Struthio camelus: one gene and its partners. The protein of the gene in region 1 purifies or fractionates together with the protein of each later gene. This does not show direct contact. Links are inferred from orthologs where the notes say so. Each region holds a gene or a part of one and is shown in the gene's direction. Other genes may lie near its edges. The genes, in order: SMC2, HECTD1 and NCAPG2.

What was found.
Region 2: the proteins of SMC2 (region 1) and HECTD1 purify together in Homo sapiens (affinity purification with mass spectrometry; 3 studies listed by BioGRID, with this or other methods). This does not show direct contact. The link is inferred for Struthio camelus from reciprocal best matches to the Homo sapiens genes SMC2 and HECTD1.
Region 3: the proteins of SMC2 (region 1) and NCAPG2 purify together in Homo sapiens (affinity purification with western blotting; 4 studies listed by BioGRID and IntAct, with this or other methods). This does not show direct contact. The link is inferred for Struthio camelus from reciprocal best matches to the Homo sapiens genes SMC2 and NCAPG2.

What each region holds. Positions count from the first base shown.
Region 1 is NC_090982.1:17,319,370-17,327,126, reverse strand, and holds the start of SMC2 (structural maintenance of chromosomes protein 2), read left to right. Parts: upstream 1-4,734; 5' UTR 4,735-5,125; exon of another isoform or gene 5,126-5,185; intron 5,186-5,418; exon of another isoform or gene 5,419-5,470; intron 5,471-5,876; 5' UTR 5,877-5,956; coding exon 5,957-6,124; intron 6,125-7,021; coding exon 7,022-7,171; intron 7,172-7,757. UniProt on the Homo sapiens protein: Central component of the condensin complex, a complex required for conversion of interphase chromatin into mitotic-like condense chromosomes.
Region 2 is NC_090946.1:53,376,801-53,384,406, reverse strand, and holds the start of HECTD1 (E3 ubiquitin-protein ligase HECTD1), read left to right. Parts: upstream 1-4,574; 5' UTR 4,575-4,673; coding exon 4,674-4,813; intron 4,814-7,606. UniProt on the Homo sapiens protein: E3 ubiquitin-protein ligase which accepts ubiquitin from an E2 ubiquitin-conjugating enzyme in the form of a thioester and then directly transfers the ubiquitin to targeted substrates.
Region 3 is NC_090943.1:11,770,020-11,777,665, reverse strand, and holds the start of NCAPG2 (condensin-2 complex subunit G2), read left to right. Parts: upstream 1-4,616; 5' UTR 4,617-4,712; intron 4,713-4,973; 5' UTR 4,974-5,036; intron 5,037-5,697; exon of another isoform or gene 5,698-5,713; 5' UTR 5,714-5,743; coding exon 5,744-5,818; intron 5,819-7,646. UniProt on the Homo sapiens protein: Regulatory subunit of the condensin-2 complex, a complex which establishes mitotic chromosome architecture and is involved in physical rigidity of the chromatid axis.

The sequences.
Region 1 (7,757 bases):
CCTGGGCTATGATGGACTCCAGAATCCTAGCTCACCTAAGCTTGCTGAACCGGCCACCCACTGACTTAGAAGGTTGTGTTTCTCTGATGAATGAAACTCTTGATGTAACCACAGAGCTAACCCTTCCTCTGCAACAATTCAACACTCTTAACCTTTGCCTGTTCAGGTTCAGAGAAATTACGCCTAAAACTGTTCAGGGCACCTAGTGTGAATGACTATCAGAGTAACAGATTATCACATTTTCAAGTCACTCCCAGCTCAGTGGGGATGCTCAGTCCTAGTGCTCACTCAGCATTCACCTCACCATGCCTCCTCACAATCCCCACAGGGACAGTGTGGGGGCACCTGCTTAATCCTCTCCTGGCCATGGCCTAGTCCAGTCTTGCTAAGTCAGGATAATGTATTCCAGGAAGCAAGTCAACGGGTGAGGGAAAGCCCTGGCTGCACTTCCAAGTGCTCCTTGGTGATGCAAAGTATATGCTGTAACCACTGTCTTCGTGCCCCCAACTCTCCATCTTCACTTAGGCCAGACTGCTAGACACTGGAGCTTGGCCTACCATGGTGGAGGAGGAAGGCAAGCTGAGAAGAGTTGGAAGTGCTGTGGTTCCTTTCCACGTGGGTGACACATGGGCAGGCCTGAACACCACAGAGTATCTATGGGGAGAGCCCAAGGGAAGACAGCAACTCACCCCATCCCTTCCTGTAAATCTTGCAAGCAGGGGAGGAACACAGGTCAAATCCAAAACGAGAGGTCACGAGAACAGCAGCTAGTAATGCTATAGTTCCACTGCTATAGTAATGGCCATAGTTCCACTGTCCTCCTCTCCAACTTGGAAAGTTTGGCCAAAGGTCAGCTGGTCATTTCTGACTTCCCTTGGCATGAGTTTGGTTGCTGCATGGAGGTGCCTACCTCTTCCTCTCCCGAGACCAGAAATACAGCATGGAAGGACCAACTCTAATTGCCACCAACTTCTCCACACTGTCTCCCAAGGAATCTTTCCTTCCTCCTGCCCTCCTCCACCCTCAACCATCTATGAAGAAACAAAGCAAAAGGCAGAAGCAGTCACTCCTCCATATCTACGTGTGCTCAGCAGCTCTCTCGCCATGCTGACAGACTACAAACCTCTGGCTCACCTAAGCTCTCTCTCTCTCTTTCAGCCCTGAAGCTTACAGCGCCAATTTCCATTGAAAGAAAATCCCATGCAGTGTCATCAAGGGAACACCCCAAGCAGAGCCTCCGGCCAAATACCCAAAGTCGCACAACCTTCCTCCACCCCACTACATTACGTTTCCAGGCATTTCCCAGGGCTTGTAGCTACCCAGTTGCCAAGTGAAAACAGCAGAGGCCAAATCCAAACAGGTAGGAACTACTGCCTTCTTGCTACTCTGACAATTCACAGAATCTGAGCAGATGACTACTGGGAAGAGTAGCAAAAAGGAAGGAAAGGCAAAGATGTCGGAAGACAAGGCACTCCCTTCAAAACACAGAGACCACCGCCTCAACCACAACTAAAAGACAGTCAGCTGAGCCAGCGGGAAAACCAGGCCACCTTCAGGAGAAGCCACCTGATGCATCTTCTCCTTTTCCTTTCAAGGCTTCGGGGCAGGGGGTGGAGGGAGGGAAGAGCAGAAAGGAAGTGGAAGCCCACACGACTGTTTCAGAAAGCCAGCCTTCCTGCTGTGTCCACTAATGAAATGCCAGAGCAACCAACAGCCCACAGAAAACCAGCTTGGTTCATGTAGCTGAAATCAAGCAATGATGAAGGTAGTTTATTGATGTAGGAACAGCAAGGAATTCACTGGTACTCGTGAAACTCTACCTTCACAAACAATATGAGCAATGCAACCTTAAAATGTGGAACTGTGCACTGTTGCCAAGGATGCTGCCTTTGCCTGCTCTGCAGCTATCTTTGGCTTCCAGATTGCTTTCCCACTTGGGCATACACAACTTGCTGCTTTTGAGTATGTGGGTATAAAAGTGTGAGTGAAATTTATGAAAGAATGAGTTAAATTTAATTTACTTAGAGATTTAGTACATGATTATCACTTTTCATTTCTCTAAGATCTCACTCAGATTTTTATGCTCATTTACTAGACACAGCGCCATCCGATATTTCCCCACCCTTTTGCATCATGAAACTCCCGCTCATACACCTTGCCAAGTTGGTATCTAAAAGCATGTCTTAATCACATATATATGTAGAGTAGATTTTTTCACTCAGTTAGACCTATTAGATTGCTGAAACCCATCATTTGCACTGGAACTAATTTTCTCCACTCAAAAGCATCAGTACTACACCAGAGAAATTGCATCAACATACTAGTAGTGGTAGAAATGGTTTCTGTCTTTAAAGGAACACAAAAAGTAATGTTAACTTGTCTTCAGAATTAACAGTATTGCCATCTCACTGCCATACCACCACGGAGGGGAAAAAAACATCTAATGAGCATTCAGCTTGCTTAGATTAGGCATAACCTTTAGTTGCAGTTATCTGACAGGAAGGCCACAGTTTCTAAATTTCCTGCTTAATGTTTGGTCTGGCGTTTGACCTTTGTTCCCGTTTGCACTCCCCCATTGTAAGATTAATGAAGTTTTTACCTTTGTGGAATATCAGTTGTGACTTCAGAGTTAAAAATGATGTTATAGATTTGGCATAATCTGCTTTATAGTGTTACGACAAAAACTAAAAAGTCTCCTAGATAAGCAAATGATAACTTTTCCTTCCTCAATGCACATGCTATATTCAAGTTTGTTAGGTACAAGTGTTAAATAGCAACAGTATGGTTTTCTTCTTAAAATTCAACACTATTATTAAAATAGTGCATTTTACCTTTACTCTAAAATACAGTATCCAGCTTTTAGAGACTAATAGGCCATAAAGCTAGCACATAGCCACTTGATAACGGGTGAACTTTCCCCGCCCATACATAACATAAATACTGGTTATCTTTACAGAGAAAAGTCTCTCATTTCAGAAATGACACTTCTTTATTTCCGTTTGCTTATTTCAGGCTATAGCTAGGCTGGTAGGACAAAACAGTAGACAGAACCACTGCAGCACTGGCTCCTCAACCAACCCTGGAGATAGCCATCACTCAGCAATCATTTCTGTCTTTTGAAGCACAACCAGGTACCACCTGCAGGCTAGCCCAAGGACCTACTTCCCACAGTAACTAGTCAGGCCTCAGGCATCACAACAGTGCAAGCACGTTTCCTGCAGACTGTAAACTGGCAACTTTTGCCTTGAGTATGACTAACTTTCAGATCACCAAATAGAAGTGGCTTTTAATGATGACTGCAAAATTACAGAGTCCCATTTTGATTTTTCCCCATACTTTAAAATATTTTTTTCAATATGATGTCCAGATGTTAGCAAATAAGAAGCTGTTAGGACATCCTTAAGTGCCTCCTAGTTACAGTACTATCAGAATCAATGCTGTCACAATTACGCCTTACACAATATGCAATAACCAAGCTGCATCAGAAATAATTCCAGAAGTGGAGTGAGTATACAAAGAAAAAAATATTTCCCTGTAATGTACACCTGTAGCCTGCATTATTTCCATTGATTAAAACATAACCTCTGACTATAGATTAGACAATTTAGTGCAATCATCACAACAGCTCCCTGGATCTCAGTGGTAACACTAAAGCCCAGCTGACAGTACAATACGGAACATCCTCTGCAAAATAACCTATCTAAGCATTCGGCCTAACTACCGCCATCTCAGGAAAGGTAAATGCATTTAGTTGGTCTAAGTATCTGTTTTGATCAATGTAACTGTATTGCAATTTTAAGAGCTACTGTTCCTAAAATGAACCATTTTGAAATTTGTTTTGAGTAGGCTTCTTTCTTAAATGCAAACACCCTCTCTGCAAATTGCAACAAATGAGTTAAACAGACATTTTCCTTTTTTTTAGAGGAACAGAACTGAATTTTCTTCATTTTAACAGTTTTGCAGTTATTCAGGCTCCACAACTAACTGCTCCTGCATTAGCCCTGTATTGTAAATATTTGCTACTGATAGCTTCCTTTACTTACACAAAAAACCCTACGTTGTAATTCTGAAGATTTAAGTATCAGAAACATATATTCAACTTTAACATAAGAGCATTTGCTTGGTTTTGCTTTTTCACAGCTGCTGGTAAGCCAACTACGAGCCCTCCACGTTCTTGTCAAATTCTACCTGAAGTGGGAATAGCTTTTTGAAATTAATTCCCCAACTCACCGTCTCCTCACGTTATGCTAATTGTTGTGTCCATTTCACTTGGGAACCTACCTGAAGTCTCAAAATCTCCTTGTTGTGAGGAAGAAGAACATTCTAACAACACCTCTATTTTTCCTTTTAAAGTCCGCATAGTAGCTACTGCTTATGCAGGTATCAGTCTATGCGCACCGTGGCACGTTTTTCAGGGGTCAGTATTACTATTTGTGCCACCAGAGCTAGGATCACGCCACAAAAGCTGCTGGCCTACCCTGCCTGCATAGACATTCCTTCTCAAAGCCAAATAGGAAAATTTAGCGGGGGTGAAGGGAAGGGGAAAAAAAACATACCTAAATATCCCCAAACAAAGACCTTTGAACAAATAGGTTTGTCTCGACTCCCTAGTCAGCAGACTAAACGAGTCGAGACGAGACCAACCCCGCCCCTGCAACGGCCAGAGGCGGAGGCCGAGGCGGAGGCGGAGGCCGAGGCGGAGGCGGAGGCCGCACCCCCGCCGCCGCCGCCGCCGCCCGCCTCAGGTACGTAACGGCCGCCGGCCCCGCCCCGCCCCGCGAGGACCCCGTCTCGCGCCTGCGCCCGCGCCCGCGCCCGCGCCCGGAGCGGGCTTTACCCGGAGCGCGCCCGCCCGCCCGTCGCGATTGCCTGTTCTGACCTGAAGGTGTACGCTATCCCCCCCGACGCCGAGACCCTCGTCTCTGGAGTGCTCCTTCCTTCTTTTCGGCAAGGACGGGACCTAGTCTTTCCGCTTTACCCTCTGGAGGGGGAGGCTGGAGGAGCAGGGCGACTTTGAGACAGGCAATGCGCAGGGCAGCCGCGAACGGGCCCATCCTCTCGGCGCCAAAATTCAAGCGCTGCGGGCCGTTGGGAGCGCTGCGGGCCGTTGGGAGCGCTGCGGACGGTGAGCCACGAGAGGCTGGGGCCAGCGGTGGGGCTGCTTTCCCCCACCTCCCCGCGGCAGGTGCGCCGGGCACCCGTTTCCCCTGGCCGTTGGAGCCGCCAGCGAGGACCCGCTCGGCAGCCGCCCCGGCGGGGCTGTGGGGAGCCCCGGCGCCGCGGGCGAGATGGGAGCAGGCACCGCTGCGTGTCCGGCCGGGGCGGGCGGGCGGGGGCTGTCTTCGCGGCGCTTCAGAGATGAGGCAGTCTCGTCTCTGAGGTCCTCGTGATTTTTATCTACTTATTCCTGGGTTTCAGTTCTCCAGGCGAGGTGCGGAGGGCGGCGGGGCAGCGGTGGAGCTGGGCGCTGGTAAGAGCTCCGCGGGCTGCCCCCTCGGCGCTGCCCCTTTTAAAAGGGGTGCTGTCTTTTTATTGCCTTCTGAAAGCTTCCAGCCTCCCCCTTCTCTTTGGCTGATGAAATAACCTCCAACTTTGCGAGAAAACTCTTATGCCACGGCCTTCATACAAATATCATGATGCAAACTGAATAGAATCATGTTGCTTAGGCCCTTTAAAGTACAGTTTATTGTTGGGATGCATCCTGAATCGGAGGTCCACCTTTCACAGCCAAAAAAAAAAAAAAAAAGGTACTTAAAGGGCATAAAATTGCATGTCATTTCCAGGCATACTCATTGCTCATTTAGTATTAGAAATTTAGTTTTTTTTTTTTTCAGGAATGTAGCATGATTTATTTTCTTCTTTTCCTTATTTTGTAGTACACAGGATTATAGTTCAGAAATCTTTCTTCATACCCCTTGGAGGAACACTTGGCCTTGTTCTCTAGGGACATAGAGACATGCACATCAAATCAATTATCATTGAAGGATTTAAGTCCTATGCTCAGAGGACAGAAATCAACAGTTTTGATCCATTATTCAATGCCATTACTGGGCTGAATGGCAGTGGCAAGTCCAACATCTTGGACTCTATCTGTTTCCTGTTGGGCATCGCCAACCTATCTCAGGTAAAGAGGTGGGGGTGGGTTGATCTTTCTTCTGCCAGTGACTTTATTCTTATTATTTTCTTGATTAATCTCTATTGGAGGACCTAATGTGGTACTTCTGTCCAAAAAATGATTTTATTTATTCCGATTTTTCAGGACACAAAGCTGAATTTTATCATTATTTCTCACTCTTGCATTAAGTTTAAACTACAATTTTGTCAATATAATACAACAGCATAAAGTATGCAACTTGGAACTTTAGAATAAAAATACCCAGTTAAAAGGAAGCAGCTTAAAGCTGGATTTCTTTAATAGCTAAAGGCCTAAGCTTGTTTATTTGGAATAAACATTCATACTTCTCAAGCAGGTCTTAAAATTTGACCACTAGTTCATCAGAAAAAAATAAAAATGAGATTTTCTTGGACTATCTGCTATTTAAAAGCTGATATATCTGCTTTACTCTCTATATAAGGCTGTATTGTGAGGTAAATTTGAACCACTGTTTTCAGGTGGTTCCCCCCCCCCCCGGAATTCTAGGAGAACTGCAAGGAAAGTTTTCTGTTTGACTTCCCCGTGAACTGTATAGTGAATAATAAATGTTCTTTAAGTAAAGATACTGGTGACTAACTAGACATATGAATTTTTTTATAGACATTCAGGTTTTTATTAGGAGTCTCATGCAGAAACAAATAGCTAGCTGACTAAAACTAGACTGGCACACGCCTGTGGTTTTACAGTACTAACGTCTTGCAACTCCCACATCTCAATCTCCCCATTAACTGAATCTTCAACATTACAATTCCAACGTTTTTCATTCGTTTCTCCAGAACCTACACCACTAGTACTGTACACACTGAAGCTGTATAACGATTTTTATTTAAAAAAAAAAAAATGCATAGATCTGTTTCATGTGTTTAGGTGCGAGCTGCCAACTTGCAGGACCTAGTTTATAAAAATGGGCAAGCTGGAATTACTAAAGCAACCGTTTCTATCACCTTTGATAATTCTGACAAGAAACAAAGTCCATTGGGATTTGAAGCTAACGATGAGATTATTGTCACTAGGCAGGTGAGTCTGTATTTGTTCAGAAACCTGTATACACTTCTGATGTTCTCAACAGAGTGACTTTCAAGAAAAAGTTAATTTTTTCAAGCCCCTGAGTTTTTGCAGTTAAAGCAGTGCTTCTGCAATGAAGTTAGTAACAGAAAGTATCAAAGTAGATCCAGTGTAGTAGATAATATTAATTGCCTTAGTAATTCCAATTTTTAAATGCGTTAATAATTTTTTTCTACTTACATAGAAACATAATAATGGAATAAAGTTCCTGAAGCAAGTTATAATTTTCTCTTCTGTGTTTTTTTTCTCTTCTGCTTTCATCAAAGTTAAATTTGTTTTCTAAGATCATAGAAACCTTTATTTTTCTGATGAAAACATCACCCAGGTAAAAGGCTGCGACACCTTGTGAAATCTGGAAATTTTTTTTTCAATTAAGAGTAAAAATATTAGCCTTGATGACTCTCTCACTTTTACGTAAGGTATTTTAAACACCTTTTCACACTAGCAGGATCTAGTCTCTTCTGTGCGGTATGCTTGTGTATATGTATACACATAGCTAGGATTTGCTCAGGTTTTGGTTCTTGTAATTCATTGCAGC
Region 2 (7,606 bases), on another chromosome or scaffold:
TGCTCATATGAAAATTCACATGAAAGCAAATAATGTTGTAAAAACGACTGAGGCAATTCTTATTTAATAATCAGCTAACTGTAGTCTTATTTGAAAGCTATTTTTCCTCATATTAAACATTAGAGAACAGTCAAGTTTTGAAGGTGAGGTATATCGGTGAAGTCTATTCCGGTGCTGTATGCAGGGAGAGTTTGAAACAGTAACTTGGGCATGTCACTTCCCGTTATACATTTCAAGGGAATACTCTCTGACAACTGCTGAAAATAAACTGCATGTCCGTTCAGCACGTGAAGTAAGTGTCAATCAGACTATGAAGATATATGTTGTAAATAAGAAGTATATATATAATCTGTACAGCAGAAATTATATAGTTAGCATGTTATTCCTTTCCTCAGATTCAGTTTCGGGAGAAGGAATCTCATAATCAGGAACACGGATCACAAACAGATGAATTCTTAAGTACTGCAAACGTATCACAAAGAACGCAGTTCAGGCTCATGACTAAGGCAGTAAAAAATTTCTTGATACACCTCCTTTAATATAAAAGATATTACAGGATATTTCACATTGGGTAATTAATGGAGGAGGACATGGAAGTATTTATGCTTCACTATAAGTTATACTTCACTATAAGTGTTCACTGTTTGCAATTGAAAATTATTATTTGTTTTGGGCTTCAGGAGAAATTCGTAACATGTTGCTTTAATTGAAACCCTTCTTCACCATAAAAGGCATAGGAAACCATTCTAGGATTATGAGACAGGAGTAAGGTCACTTAGCGCATGCAGCTCTCACAAGTTTGGCCTAATTTTTCTGCTTCTTCTGTACCAGTGAAAGTGAAAGAAGATCAAGCTTCTAAATTTAAAGACTGCAGTCTCAGTTTTCCTAATGCCTCACGTCCTTAACTTTAAGCATATAAGAAGTCCTGTCGACCTCAGAAGGACAAACATGCATACATAAAGGATACACATATAAGTCTCGTCAGGATTGGAACAAGCAGCCATTAAGAGAGACATAATACAATAAGACACAAAGTCTAAGCCGCCTTAGAAACCAGAACCAGAGAAGCCAGCTATTGTTTTTGGATTCAGAGAAACGATTCAATAAAGTTAAAGCTTTCTAAAGGTACTATTACAACACCAAACCATAAAGATTTCTGCATTTTTTAAGTCTTACCCGAGCATGACTGCTATTGCCTTTTTGTTCACTGTGTCGTTTGTTTCCTAATTACAAGAGATGTCTATGATGTGTGCAGGAGTGACATTCAAATGTACAATAATCTTATTTACTGTACTTATATTAATAGGCTTTATGTAACTACAGTCCTTTAAAAAAGGCATGTGATTCTACAGAGAAAACTGTTTTGAAGGTCTTCCCCTGTCTTGGGTTCGTCATAGTAAATGCGTAGCAGTTTGCCTCCTTTAACTCTGGGGCGTACGCAGAATAGCAGTGCAGGTTTTGGCAGCATGTGTTGCAGGGGGTGATGCTCCGCTGCAAAACCTGCCATAGACTGAATAATGCGGTTGCGATAGCTCAAAGTCCCTACCAGATAATGGCAATTTACAGCTTCCACCCTGGAAGAGCACGAGCGCTGTGTTTAAAACCACTCGTCACTGCCGTTTTTAATAGAGGAGGTGCTGGGTGTGGATTAAAGGGGCCCGGAAAGGACAAGCCTAGCTGCACAGTACTTTTATAACCGCACTTTTACAAGCCGTGTAAGAGTACTTCGATACTGTCACAGAAAGAGCACTATGTAAAACAGAGTGCTGTATCGAGGGACTTAGCCAAAAAACGCCAGGGCGTGAAAAGCTCTTTAACCCCAGAAAACTGCCCGGGCAGCTCGGGGCCGGGCCGGGCCGGGCTGAGGGAGCCCCCGCGGCGCCCCGGGCCCGGGGGCAGCGAGGCGCCGCGAAGAGGGGCGGAAGGCCGAGCCCACCGTCACGGGAGAGGGGAGGCGGGCGGCAGGCCGGGAGCGTGCGCGGGCGGGGGGCGCCGGGCCGGGCCGGGCCGCGGCCCCGCTCCCGCAGCGCCCCCAGCGGCGGCGGCGGCGGCCGGCGGGCGGGCGCCAGCTCCGCCCCGAGGCGGCGGCGGCGGCGGCTGGTTCCCCTCCTCCCGCCAACCCCGTGGCGGGCGGAGCGCCATGGACGCCGCTCGCGGCCGCCTGCTCCCGGGTTCGGGCTGCCGCCGCCGCGCCTCTCCCGCCGTCTCCCCGCGGCACTGAGGAGGGGTCGGCTCCGGCGAGGAGGCTGCGCGAGGCCGAGGTGAGCGGCGGGGAGGAGGAGGCGGAGGAGGCGGCGGCGGCCTCTTGCGCTCGCTACGGAGCGGCGGCGCCTTTCCTGCGCCGCCAGGCCGGGTCACCCTGCGAGGCCTGCGGCTCGCCGGCAACTCGAGCGGCGCTGCCCGGCCTGGCGGGCCGGTGCCGCCAGGCCCCGGCGAAGCGGGCCGGCGGGGCGGCCCGCGCGGTGGCGGCGGCGGGGCCCGGGGCGGCTTTCTTCGGCGGGCTGAAGGCGGGGGCAGCGCTGGCGCGCAGCCCCTCGGGCCGCGGCGGCGCGGGGGCTGCGCTTCCCCCCGCGGCTGGGCGGCCCCGAAAATCCCCGCGCGCGGCCTGGGGCTGGTGCGCGCTGTAGGCCCGAGAGGCCGCGGGGCGGTGGGAGCCTAGTTGAGCGGCGGCCTGGCCCCGTTTCTGGCCCGCGTCTCCGGGGAGCCCCCGTCGCTTGCCCTGCTCTGTTTTCTCTTCGGTTGCTCGTTTCGGGCTGGTTAGAGCCCGTCTAGGGCGAAGGAACAGCAGCTGCCTGTATTGAACTTATCCGGCTTCCCCCGGCTCTCTTAGTTTCCTTGCCTCTGTGGCCTTCACCCCTCCTTCGCTCCCCCTCCCCGTGCTTCCCCCTCCCCCAGCGCCAGTTGGCGATCATTATTTTTTTGCTTTAAAAACATGTACTACACCTGCAGTACGAACCTAGTTGTACTGGATGGCATCAGTTTTCTCTAGGCTCAGAACAAAATGTAGTCTCTAAACAGCGGAGAGGATCATAAGCGTTGTTTGAAGCATAAAAACGAACTTAATAATATTTTAATTCCTTTTAGAATTTGCAGTTTAGAGATGCTGCAGCAATAGTAAAACACATATATGGGGCAAGCAATAATTGGGTGAGCTGTAATGTTCTTATCGCCCTCAATGATAAAATGAAAAATAAAATCACATTTGACATACTTTTTGTCATGTCTTTGGGTGACAAAGCTTTCGTATTGCTGAATCAATGTGTATCTCTCCACATAATACAGACTTGTGATTCCCTTTTGTAAATTCCTTTGTGCCCTTGATGAAGTTATTTTTTAACTATTAACTCGTTAGCAGCAAGTAAACATGCAGGCAGACTTTGTCCAGATCAAGCTTCCCCTTCCCTGCCCGCCCCCCCCCCCCCCCCCCCATTTTGTGAGGACACTTTCCAGCATTTTCATATTCACCTTCAAATTTGATAAACTAATTTTTTTTTATAAGTCGTATACATTCAGTTTTTTCTTTTATGTTTAATTTGGAGAGGTTGATTAGTAGCCCCCCTTTTTTTTTTAGTTTTTATATGAAATTAATAATTGTAGTTGTTCCATTCTTTGGCACCAGAGGTGAATTTGACTGTGTGTTAGTAAAATACAAAGTAACAAATAAGCACATAGGTCAAAAATATCTCCTAACGTTTTAAAGGGACTTTTTTGGTCTTCAGCTTGCATGTACAGCTATGGCATTGGGCCAACAAATAATGTTATTTTCCTTATATGTGCATGAATTATGTGAATTATTCACTGTATTTCTTAAAGGCTGTCAATTAGATATGTTTAAAAAAACAGTAAAAATTTGAAGTATTTCTTAAATTAGCTTTTTTCTCCTTTGCCTTAAAAGGCTTATTCTTGTTACATGTTATTTGAAAAGGTGAAGAAATCATAAAAATCCTGCAAAAATTCTCTGAATCTCAAATTATAAACTCTCAATTTATATTGTTTTTGTTTTGTGGATTTTTATTTAAAAAAAGCCTGATGTTTTATATTTGAATACTTGAGTGATGACATAATCTTTAGGAAAGTGAGACACTTTATCATAAGATGATACTTTAAAAAAAAAAAAAGGGAGAGGAGGAGGAGGCAAGACATAACACTATTTGTCTTTGTATTAGCTCTGAGAGTATGAAAATGACTTAAGCATAGTTTTTCTACTAAAAATTTTAATTTCGAGTTATCCTCTGTATCATAGTGGACTTTAAGACTTGGTTGATTGTCAGCTGGAACTAGAGACCTTTTTTCTATTTCATTGGAAACAATAATTACTGTTTACTCATGTGTAAAGTTTAAAAAAACAAGCAAAAAATAAGCAAAAAAGGGGAGGGGGAGGATCCTTTTTTTTAATCTAGAACACATGGAAATTTCCTTAATTTTGGCCTGAAGATATGTGATAAATTTCAGAAAGGAACAAATCTGAAAAGTTTAGGCTAAATTTTGATAACGTGTATTTTTTTTTTCTTCTTTCTTTCCAGGTAAAAACTGCAAAAGCCTGAGGCTGGCTGAAGAGAGACGTTGATTGTACTCAAGTTAGTCTGGCTTGAACAATTGAAGGATATTTTTGGTACTTTTAATTTAAGCAGAGGCGGCTTTTTTTTTTTTTTTTTTTTTTTTTTTTTAAAACCATGGCAGATGTGGACCCAGACACGTTGCTTGAATGGCTGCAGATGGGGCAGGGAGATGAAAGGGATATGCAGCTAATAGCACTGGAACAGCTATGCATGCTACTTCTGATGTCGGACAACGTGGATCGTTGTTTTGAAACGTAAGTAATTTTGCCATTCATTTATGGAATGTTGTTTTTGTTTCTCAGCAGTTGTGTATGAAATTTAACATTCCTAGAAGCTTTCACAGTCTTGAAAATGTTCTTACAGACCAAACTTAAGTACATATCACAGAAATGAGATATGAGTTCCTGTTAGTGTTGTTTAAAGTAATCTTTTCCGATTAAAAACATTGTCTCATGTGGATGATCACGTCCCAGAATGGGCATTGCCTGTGTGATTGTTTAATTTAAAGAATTATATTCAGAGTCTACAGCCATATTCCTTTTGCAGTGTGGAAATTATTTTTTAATGGTACGGAAGAACTTTTTATAACTTTAAAATTATAATGATCGCATATACTTAAGTATCCATACTCTTACAGAATGTTGCTCTCATCAGATATAGTTGCTTTTTCTGATAGCTGCAAATCAAAAAACCCTACAACCGTTAGCCAGTGTTCACACAAATATTTTGCCCCTTCCTAGAAGAATGTTGCTGTTCATGCCGCCCTCCTGCCCAGCTGTAATTAACATTTGTACACGTTATACAGCACAGCCTGTGTTCTCACTCCTTTTTATATATCTCACTATACAAAATGCTGATGTTACAACTTCTGTTACTTAATATTATTGCTCTGTATTAATGTGCATTTGTTACACTAATCTTTGTAGGGGTGATTAGTGTAGAAAAGAGAGAAAGGAGTAGTGCAGAAGTGTAAACAGAGCTTTTAAAACTTAAGTAGCAGTGAATACAGTGGTTTATGTTCTTCCTTAGTTCTTTTTTTAATCTCTTTCCATATCTACTCCTCTTCCCATATCTACTCCCTAATCTAGTATCTCTTTTATGTCTTTTTCCCAGATCATGTTTTGATTCTCTTCTGCGTCTCTCCACTTTTCCATCTTTTCTTTGTTATTCTGACTTTTCTTTTGCATCTCACGGTGTGGCTAGAGTCTTTGTGATAGGCCCTGTTTCTTAGCGGTGTGGGTTGAAGATCATTTAAGAATGTAACTGGTTGTTACAGTGTTTATTTCCATAGCCCTGAAAAAGAGAACAGCTTCCAAGGTTCACCTCTTAAAAGCCGTTCATGATTGCTATTAGCACAAGAGCTCTAAAATTCATGCATCTTTAAAATTAGAAGTTGTAGTAGTTACGTAACAGTGACCACAGTTTTGTACAGTGCTTTAAAGTTTGAAATTGGCTGGCATTGGCCTGAAGAGTGTACAGGTAAAATTGTGGATTGAAAGAGGTTTGCAATAGGGAGATGCGTTTGACTTGCCTATCTGTCGCTTGTAGTACTGACACTGATGCATTGCTATATTCAGGCTAGGAAAAACTAATTTACTGACTTCTTAATTTGCCTCTATAGAAAATAATTTGACAGTTGTTTAAGAATAACTTTTTAATGTTATATCTAAGTGGACCTTCTTCAGTCTGTGCCATATTGAACAAAAGTAGAGGTTTGGTCATAAGCATTTGCGAGGATATCTTTTTGTATATGAAAATCAGGAATGAAATGTTAGCTTCTTAATATAAAGCAGTTGTAGTTTTTATGCATTTGATTTAGAACAGACTTTCATCATAAAATAAATTAAATAGTTCAAATGCTTTTTTGTAAAACTACATATAATGAAGGGTCTATTATTACAAGGTTGTGGTTTTAAAATTAATTTTGATGTTTGAGAGGAGAAGCACTTAAAATACCATTTGGCATTTTAATTTTTGTTGTGAGCCTTGTTAGGTATTTAATTTTACTGGTGTTCCTAGGATGCTGATCTTTTTTATTGTTGGAAGCATCCCTCAAAGAAAGAGAGAATAAAATGTAGATAGGGAAAATGTTGTTATGTTTCCCTGGCTTATGTGTGTGATTTTTACAATCAGGTTAGAAAATGCTACTTTTAATTGGCACTTTGAATACAGTGAAGGTATGGTTCCACTGTATGTGGTGAGCTGACATAATAACTTATTGCCCTAAAAAGGGAGAGCTCCTTCTTCCCTCTTCCCATCACTCTCCTTTTTTCATTTCTCGCAACCGTGTGCTTGCTTCATGCTGGCATTAGTGCTTACTGGACTCCTTTAACTCACTAAAACAGCGAATTACTCTCTAAACCCACAAAAGAAGCTGGACAGTTTTGTGCTGTTACAGTGAAGTAAAGCAGATTATGCACAGGCATCTAATAAGCACGGGAGGTGGAGCTGCATAACTGGCAACATGGAGAGGCAGAGAAAGGTACGCTTTCCAGTGGAGAACTTTTAGGTTGTTTCAGCTGTCTATGGTATCACAACCTGCATTTCAAAGGGACTCTATTTGAAGCCCTCTGTAAGAAATAGACTGTCTTGAAAAATATTTTAAAAATCTTTTCCAAGCGATAGTCCAAGTAGCCAACACAGGTACGTGCTGAGAGAGTGTAACTAAAATAATCCTTGATAGTATACTAAAGTTGCTTTTTGGCAGTGTTTTGAAATTGCTTGCCTAAATAGGATATTTACTCTGAAGTGACTCTGACTGAAGTGTTGCCAAATGCTCTTTTCAAAAACTGATCTTGGAAATGGCTTTGGTGTATGCCTAATTTATAATGTAGACATTTTTCTGGTGGTAAGAAACCAATTGCAAACTTTAAAACATAATTTGTTCTGTTCAGCGAAAAGAGCATTCCCAAATTTTTGTATGCTAGGCAGATGTTATTTCAAGATCTTTGATTTGTTCTTTGCTATTAAAGATGGTGGTTAAGACAACTAGGAAGACTTTAATCTGTTGAATTAAACAACTGGGAAATGTAATAATTTTAAAAAGT
Region 3 (7,646 bases), on another chromosome or scaffold:
ACCAGGCATGAAGCCTCTAGGAAGAGCATGGTACGCTTCTGCTAAGTTCCTGATCTGGATTAGGAACGTGGGGAAGGCCAGTCTCCCAGCCTTGACAAGATCTACATTAACATAAGGGAGAAATAAATGTTGGTGCCTTAACCAACCAATGTAAAATAGTTTTATAACTATATATACATGTATATACACACAGATGTATGCACACACATATATTCATATATATTTATATAAGAGAAACTATTTTCATATATATGTGTGTGTATTTATGTGTGTGTGTGCACGTGTAAATTTATATAGAGAGAAGCAAATCACATCCATTCTGACATTTGTACAATGTATTCATGTTTTATACTAGATAGATGGAACAGTGATCATCTCCTATTTGATGGATGTCTACCACAATGAAGCCTTTAAGAGTGCTTTTAAAATTAATAGCAGTATTTATATACTTTACAAATGATTCTTCTCTTTATCCATAAAGCCTAAAATAGAACAAGGGTTGAAAGGAGACAAAACGCTTCCATGAGCTGTTTATCTCTAATGATTCATACTGTTAAAATCAATAGGATTAAATTAATTTAGACAGAGCAGATGTGAATGTAGCCTTTTGAATGTGAAAAAATAGACAAACTAGTATTATAAATTAACTCAGTGATACATGATATTCTGAAAGATGCTCGTGATTTTATACTAGAAAATGTTCATTGTAGTTATAATGAAAAAAGTGATACTCCTTGTTTGAAATATTCAATTTTTTTTTTTTATACACAGGTTTGCCTGTATTATATTTACAGTAGAATGAATTTAGCCGTGAAAGTGTTATGTAAGGATAATTTATTTTTGTTGGCATTTTACAGCATTTCAGAAGTCTCCTTTTCATTTGCATGGCACTAATCGTTAGCAGAGTAAAATTACTGTGATTTGTAACACCACCTACAAGGAAAGAAGTGTAAAAGTAAGAGCATGAACAAAGTTGGACTGAAATTCAACCTGGCGGGAAAAGCCCGTAAGACACCCAGCAGTACCAGCTAATTCCCACAGGGTGGCAGTTCAGTACTTCAGCAGCATCTAGAGTTACTCAAGGGAGCAGCTAGTCAGAAAAGCTTTTGCATTGCCTGTGAGCGTTTTATTTCCTTATATTTTTGTCGGAGTTAACAAGGACTTTTTTTTTCCTTCTGTAGTAAATGTTTTTTTTTTTCCCCCCACTTAATCTCTTAAACTCTAAAATCGTTTCCTGTTAATATTAATAATTTAAAGGAAGTAAGCAGTTTCAAGGTCTAATCACGCCACCATCGAAAACTGTCAGTTGCCTTTGAATAAAGGATGGCATGATTGACAGTATTACCTTCAGGCAAGGGGAGATCTGGAGAAGTAGAATAGCGGCAAACTTCATCTCTCTCCCATGCTGTTCAGATTATTTATCAAAGTATATGAAGATGAAAAAAAATCAAGGGAAATGAATGCATGTAAATTATTAACAGCCTGCCTCAGAGGATGAGCAGATTTTGTGGCTACCGTATTAACTATAACAAATTATATTATATATTCAAAAGAAAGGAAATGGGAGTAGCAATTCTAAAAGGTTAGCATATAACACATACAATGATCTCCTCAGAAACTATTATCTAGAAAATAACACTGTAAATAGGAAATAAAAATAACATAAATGTCAAGAAAGCACCTTGACACTCAGGGAGTAACTTGTTTATTTTTACAAGGATTTATAATGTTGAATCATACAGGTTAAAATAGAATATTTGATATAGTCCGAACTACGAGATTCTTGTGAAATCCATTTGTAATTGAGATCTGTTATACAGGCCACTGACAAGAAAAAAGAGTAGTTTATGATGAAGCAGTAGTACAAAAGCAAATCTTTATTTGCTGTTGCTCAGCAACCACGTGCGGAGGGCCCATTTTTCATTTTCACTTTAACTTGACTTGACAGGAAAATCATAATAAATACGAGATTATTATCAAAGGATATAGATTATTTTGAACAGATGAACAGACATGTCAAAAAGAGGCATGTAATTTAGTAGCTCTTGAAAGGCAGAAGATTAGGGAAACTGAAAATAGGGTTGTAGCTTCATTACTGGCTTACGGTTCATACACAATTCTTCCAGCCCTCCTCCCCAACCCCGAAAGACCCTACCAAACTCTATTCTGCATCTCTGGTTTCTCTACATGGTTCTTTAAAATGAATCTTTCAGTGTTACTCAGCCTGCTGTTATTTGTGTCAACTTTTAGTTTCCATAACATGAAAGAATCATTCCGTGGTTGCTATGCAACACAAGTCATAAGCTAAAATATGTTTTAGTTTGTTTGCTAAATGGATGTGTGCCCGACTAAATAAACAGTAACCAGGTGACTAATGTAGCATCTAATTAAAGGACTAATCAAGGTATTAATGAAAAATTCAGTCCACACGAGATAAGATAATCAAATCCATCAGTTCAGTTCTAAAATGCCAAAGATTTGTAATATATGCAAAAAGGATAGACATTAGCACAACAAATGTCCGTTTTCATACTTTTTATTTACTTTTACTACCGTACAAGCATGATGATTGCTCCTACAATGCATTTCAAGCAAACTGTTTCATGGCCTTCTTGCCCTTAGCTGACTACATAACTTAAACAAAAAAAAAGCAGGTCCATCAGATCTGAAATAACCCTGATCCTTCTTCCTTCTTTCCGCTGGAGCAGCAAAAGGCTCCTTTTGTGGGGGTGGGGGGCTGCTTCTGGAAGGCGATGCCTGCTGGCTGTCTCTGCCTAGGGCTGTAGGACAGATCCTATTTCAGGTGATCGTCCCAGAATCTCTCTCCTGGGACCCTTCTCTGTGGTTGCCAGTAGGTAGATGCTGGCAGAGATGCTGGTAGATGCTGTGGAGAGAGATATGTTTATTTAGATGTGGGAGAAGAGAAGGGGTAGCACTGAATTGTCAGCATGGGGAAGAGACGTTATGATGCTCAAGAGTAGTCTCCTGGCTGCTAATTCCTTCTGCCATATTGTCCCTTCCTTGAGTAGATGACCAACTTAATTAAAAATTGCAAATAGTACAACCCATTCTCCAATTGATGCTTACAGTAATTTTTATCTGGCAAATAATTGCTTTATCTGGCAAAGAAGCTTTCTTCTAAAACCCAATGACTGCAGAAGTTTCACATACATTCTGCTAATGATTTAGGAATTTAAACAGCTTTTATCTTTGTTTTCAGTAACATTAGTCATCTGTTACAAACATTTTTGAAGCAATATAGAAGAGCATTAATTATACAGGATAAGCACCAAATAGATTTTATTTTTCATCTTGTAGTTTTGAAACTATGTAAAAAAAACAGTTAAAGAGCTTACTCAGAAAACGTCAAAAATTAAAACAGGAAGTCTTTCAGTCAAACATATATGGGAGAAAACGTTACTGTTGCAGTTTTGAGACATAGCAAGATTAAAGTGGATTGTACATAAAAAAGAAAAAACATTACCAAAAAACATAACTATTTCTTCAAAAAATAGTGATTTTGTACATATAATATTCTTAATTAAATGAAATCTGAATCTGATTTTGCTTTTTAAAATTACACTCTGGAAAAGTTCAGTCAGATGTGAGAACTCTTCTAGAAAGCGTTGATTCTATTTTTTGTTTGGAAAGCAAAGCAGCATATGCAGTACTACAGTCATACACTCAAAGTAAACAATTCCAGTCAAGCATCTAATTCTTCAGAACAGCTAAGAATGCTGGGAAATATTGAAAAATATAATGCTACTGGGAATGTAAAACTGAAAGATATAAATTAAGCCCTTAACGAGACAAAGTGACTATTTCCAGTTTGTAGAGGAGCTCCGACAGGACAGCGAACACAAGAGAATTGAAAGCTGTTCATGCTTAATTCAAGGAGCTGAGTCCAAACACTTCTGCCCACTGCAAAGTAAATTTGAAAAGAAACAAAAAGCACCTATTTCCAGATAGATTTTAAAAAGTAAAGCATTGTCAAACTGTTAATATCTTCCGGCCCGCATACTTCCCCATACCTTCTGCTGGGTAACCTGCTTAGCTTTTTGCTGCTTTGGATGACAAGTACATAAGGCCTGTAGTAGTGTTCACTGTGACCGAGATTGAAAGCGTAGCTGTCAACACTAGCCGTTAAGAACATTTTCTGAGAAAAAGCCAATGTAATCAACTGGATGCTGAGTGCTTTCTGAGTAAATAGCACATGTTTTGGTAAGAATACTGTGTCACTGCCACCCCAGATCCATGGAAGAAGGCATGCTGTTTCTTCAGCATATAAATGAATTTAATTAAACGTGTCTTATCCCATTTTGAAGGGGTTGTGAGTTATGAGATGGCTGCAGGAAGACAACCGTAGGCTCGTACGTAGATCTACACCTCGCCAGCTTCTTCGCAGTAACCGATCCGTCGCCTCTTCAGTGAAGGAGGGGGAGGGCAACTAACTAACGGCTGCGCCGGCGCGCGGAGAGGGGCGGGGCCGCAGCCACGCCCTTCCCGCCGCGGCGCCGGGGCCCCGCCCCGCCCCGCCCCGCCCACGGCCGGCGCGCGCCAGCGCCCCCGCCCGCTCGCAGTGGGGTTGCGAGGGAGGGGCGGTGGGTGAGCTCTCGCGAGACGGGAGCGGCGCGCGCCCGCCTGCGCCCAACGGTTGCCGCGGGAGAGTTCGAAACCGCCGGGAGAGCGCGCGGCGGCGGCGGCGTGTCTGTGTGAGTGCGAGCCCTGGGCGGGCGGGCGGGCAGGGCGCCGAGGCCGGGGCAGGAGGGCTGAGCGAGGTGCCATTCCGTCTCTGAGCACCCCCCGGGGCTGGTGCCTCGTCCGGCTCTGGGGAGAGGCGCGTTAGTGGCGCGGCGGTTGCACGGACACCATTTTCTTGGGCAGTGCTGCTGGGATACTCGGGCTTGCGCTCCTTTGCTTCACTGCATTTAAATAGTGAGGTCGCCTTTTTTGTTTTTCTCCTGTGTGAACAGCCAGAGGTTTTTGGAAGCTTTACCTATGGATCCATGAGGATTTTTTTTCTGTGATAGTGCCAGGTAAGCCGCCCTGGCAACTTGCCACTTACTTCCTCTCCTGTTCGGGGTCGTACAGCGGTCTGTGGGGCCATGCAGTGCGCCTGGCAAAACGTAAATTACTAGTTAATTTGGATCAGTTCCTCATCATCCAGATCATGGCTTCACAGACGGGCACGTTTGAGAGAAAGCAGCAGAGGCTGTGTAAGGTCGTCTTACAGCTGATAGGGGTAGGAAAAGCTTCTCAGGAATCACTTCGGATGGAAAGTTGCATGTGAGTTAAGCTCTTAGTGTTAACAAGTGATCTTGCCGGTTTCCCATGGCCTTTTCTTGACAAGGCAGAGAAGGAGGGAACCTTTCCAATAAGTAAATGCTGCTGCCTGGACTGATGGATAGCTAAATAGGGGATGTGTGCTAGAAAAGTTATTCTTGTTAAAAGTGAAAGCATCAGTTAAAAAATTTACTTTTAAGACTCTCCTATTTAATAAATAAAGGTATTAAAAACACTACTTACAAATACTAGGGTCTTGTGCAGTTATGAATCTAAACCCTATAAATCAGTTTAAGGGGAGGAAGAGTGTCTTATAATGACTTGGATGAAAAATGTGAGTTTTTAATACTTTTTAAATACATTTTCATTGGGTCCAAGAAAGATCTTATTGTGAGATGCAATACTCTTCTCTAGTGTTTTTTTCTTTTAGGTTTATAACGCAAGGAAAAGAAGGACCATAATGAAGCGTGAAGCATTTTTACAAGTTGTGTCTAAGGACTCAATTGAAGAATTCTTGCGTTTTACTCAGATTCCTGTAAGTAAACCACGATACACGTTCATGACTAAGTCTATTAAGAGTGCACAAACTTTTTGTTTCAGAGGGGCAACAAAATTTTTCTCCGATACTTTTGTATGTGCTAGAATAATGGCAGGTAGGCAGATATAGTATCACTGTTGCAAAAAATGGCACTTAATGGAGCATAGTTGAAAAAGTTGAGGAATTTGAAATTTTTCCTGTGTTGTAAAACAGCCTGTTTTTTAATACTTGGTTGTTGTATATAGCTTGCAGTTTTAAAATAATGATTACTGCAACAATAATACTAGAAAATATTCATCTGATACTGATAAAGTTTTTTTTTTTTAAATGTTGACCTGTAAAAGAGTAAATTTGTTGCTGTATAATCAATGCGAGCTAATATACAGGCATAGCAAAGGTATGTTTCATTAGCATTTGTTCATCGGTTTGATAGTTTAGGCTCTCTACTTCTTTTTTTGTTAATATACAATTGTATTTAATAGTTCTTTCTATCACTAAATGTTCTAGAGATGTGATAAAGAGTCATAGATTGCTGCCTCTAAATGTAGTATGGAGAGAAGTAGGGGGAGGAACAAAACGAATCCAGTGAAATCTACTAATTAAAAGTTCATTCTCCTTTTGTGCATGCAATATCAAAAATAACAATTTGCATTGTGGTATTTTCCACTAAGTTTTAATCTGGTATTAAGACATGCTAGTTCTCCTGAACATCTCTTGCTAACCTTAATAGATGATATTGTCATGTTTGTTTCTTAAGTTTTCTCTCTAGCAGCCTCTCTGTTCTATTATATAAAGTACAATATTGTGAAGAGAGGATCTTGAAGCTTTTTCTACTTTACTGTCTGTATATATTGAAAGCTAAAGATATACATGTTTATTTTTAAGACTTAGTTTTAATTCTACAACTTAAAAGGCTTTGTCAGATATCTCTGCTTTTTTACGCTAACTTTTTCTAATGCTGCTTCACTTCTCATTGTTTTGCCAACATCCCTATCTACCTACCTTTTATCATCCTCTTTTAGATACTAATAAAATAACACATAGATCTTTATTAATAAAGTCTTTTATTCAGTCTCAACTAGTATTTGTTTTTGTCTTTTCCTGATCTAACCAGTATTTTCCTTATGTTCCCTTTGTCGGGATAAAGTAAGTGGTACAGCTGTACTCTGTCCATCAGGCCACCAATTAATTTACTAATGTAGTATAGATATGAAACCTATCATGTTAATTTACTAATGTAGTATAGATATGAAACCTATCATGTCTAGAGAAGATATCATGCACCGCGTAATAAGCTTAGAATTGTTTGTCTCCTAAACCTCATTTAGAGTCTCTTTGTCTAAGTATTTTGTGAGCTTTTCAGTTGCGCTCCTGTGTGTAACTCTAGATGACAACTTTATTAGCAGATTGCCGTTGTTTGAAATCTCCTCCTTGCCATTATTTTCCCACTTCTCCCCAAATCACTTTGAAAATAAATTATCCTGTTTAGGATAACTTAGGATACTTCCTAAGCTTCCTTGCTGATGGTCATGTTGTTTCTGCCTTCTCCGTTCACTAACCTATCTTGACATACCTCTTGGTCTGTTCAGATTAAAAATTGCTTTTCCATCCCTATACCTTGAAGAACAATATGGTGTGTGTATCACTATTTTTCATCGCCAGTTCACAAGAGTTGTCTTGCAACTGTATACAGCTATCTTTATTGCTTGTGAAACTGAATCACTGCCAAAAGAGAGCCCTTTAGTGTTTTTAGAAATAAAATGATTGATTTGTCTATTTTGCCACAGATTATTAGCCTGTATCCTTTTTGTTTCTAGGTTACCCC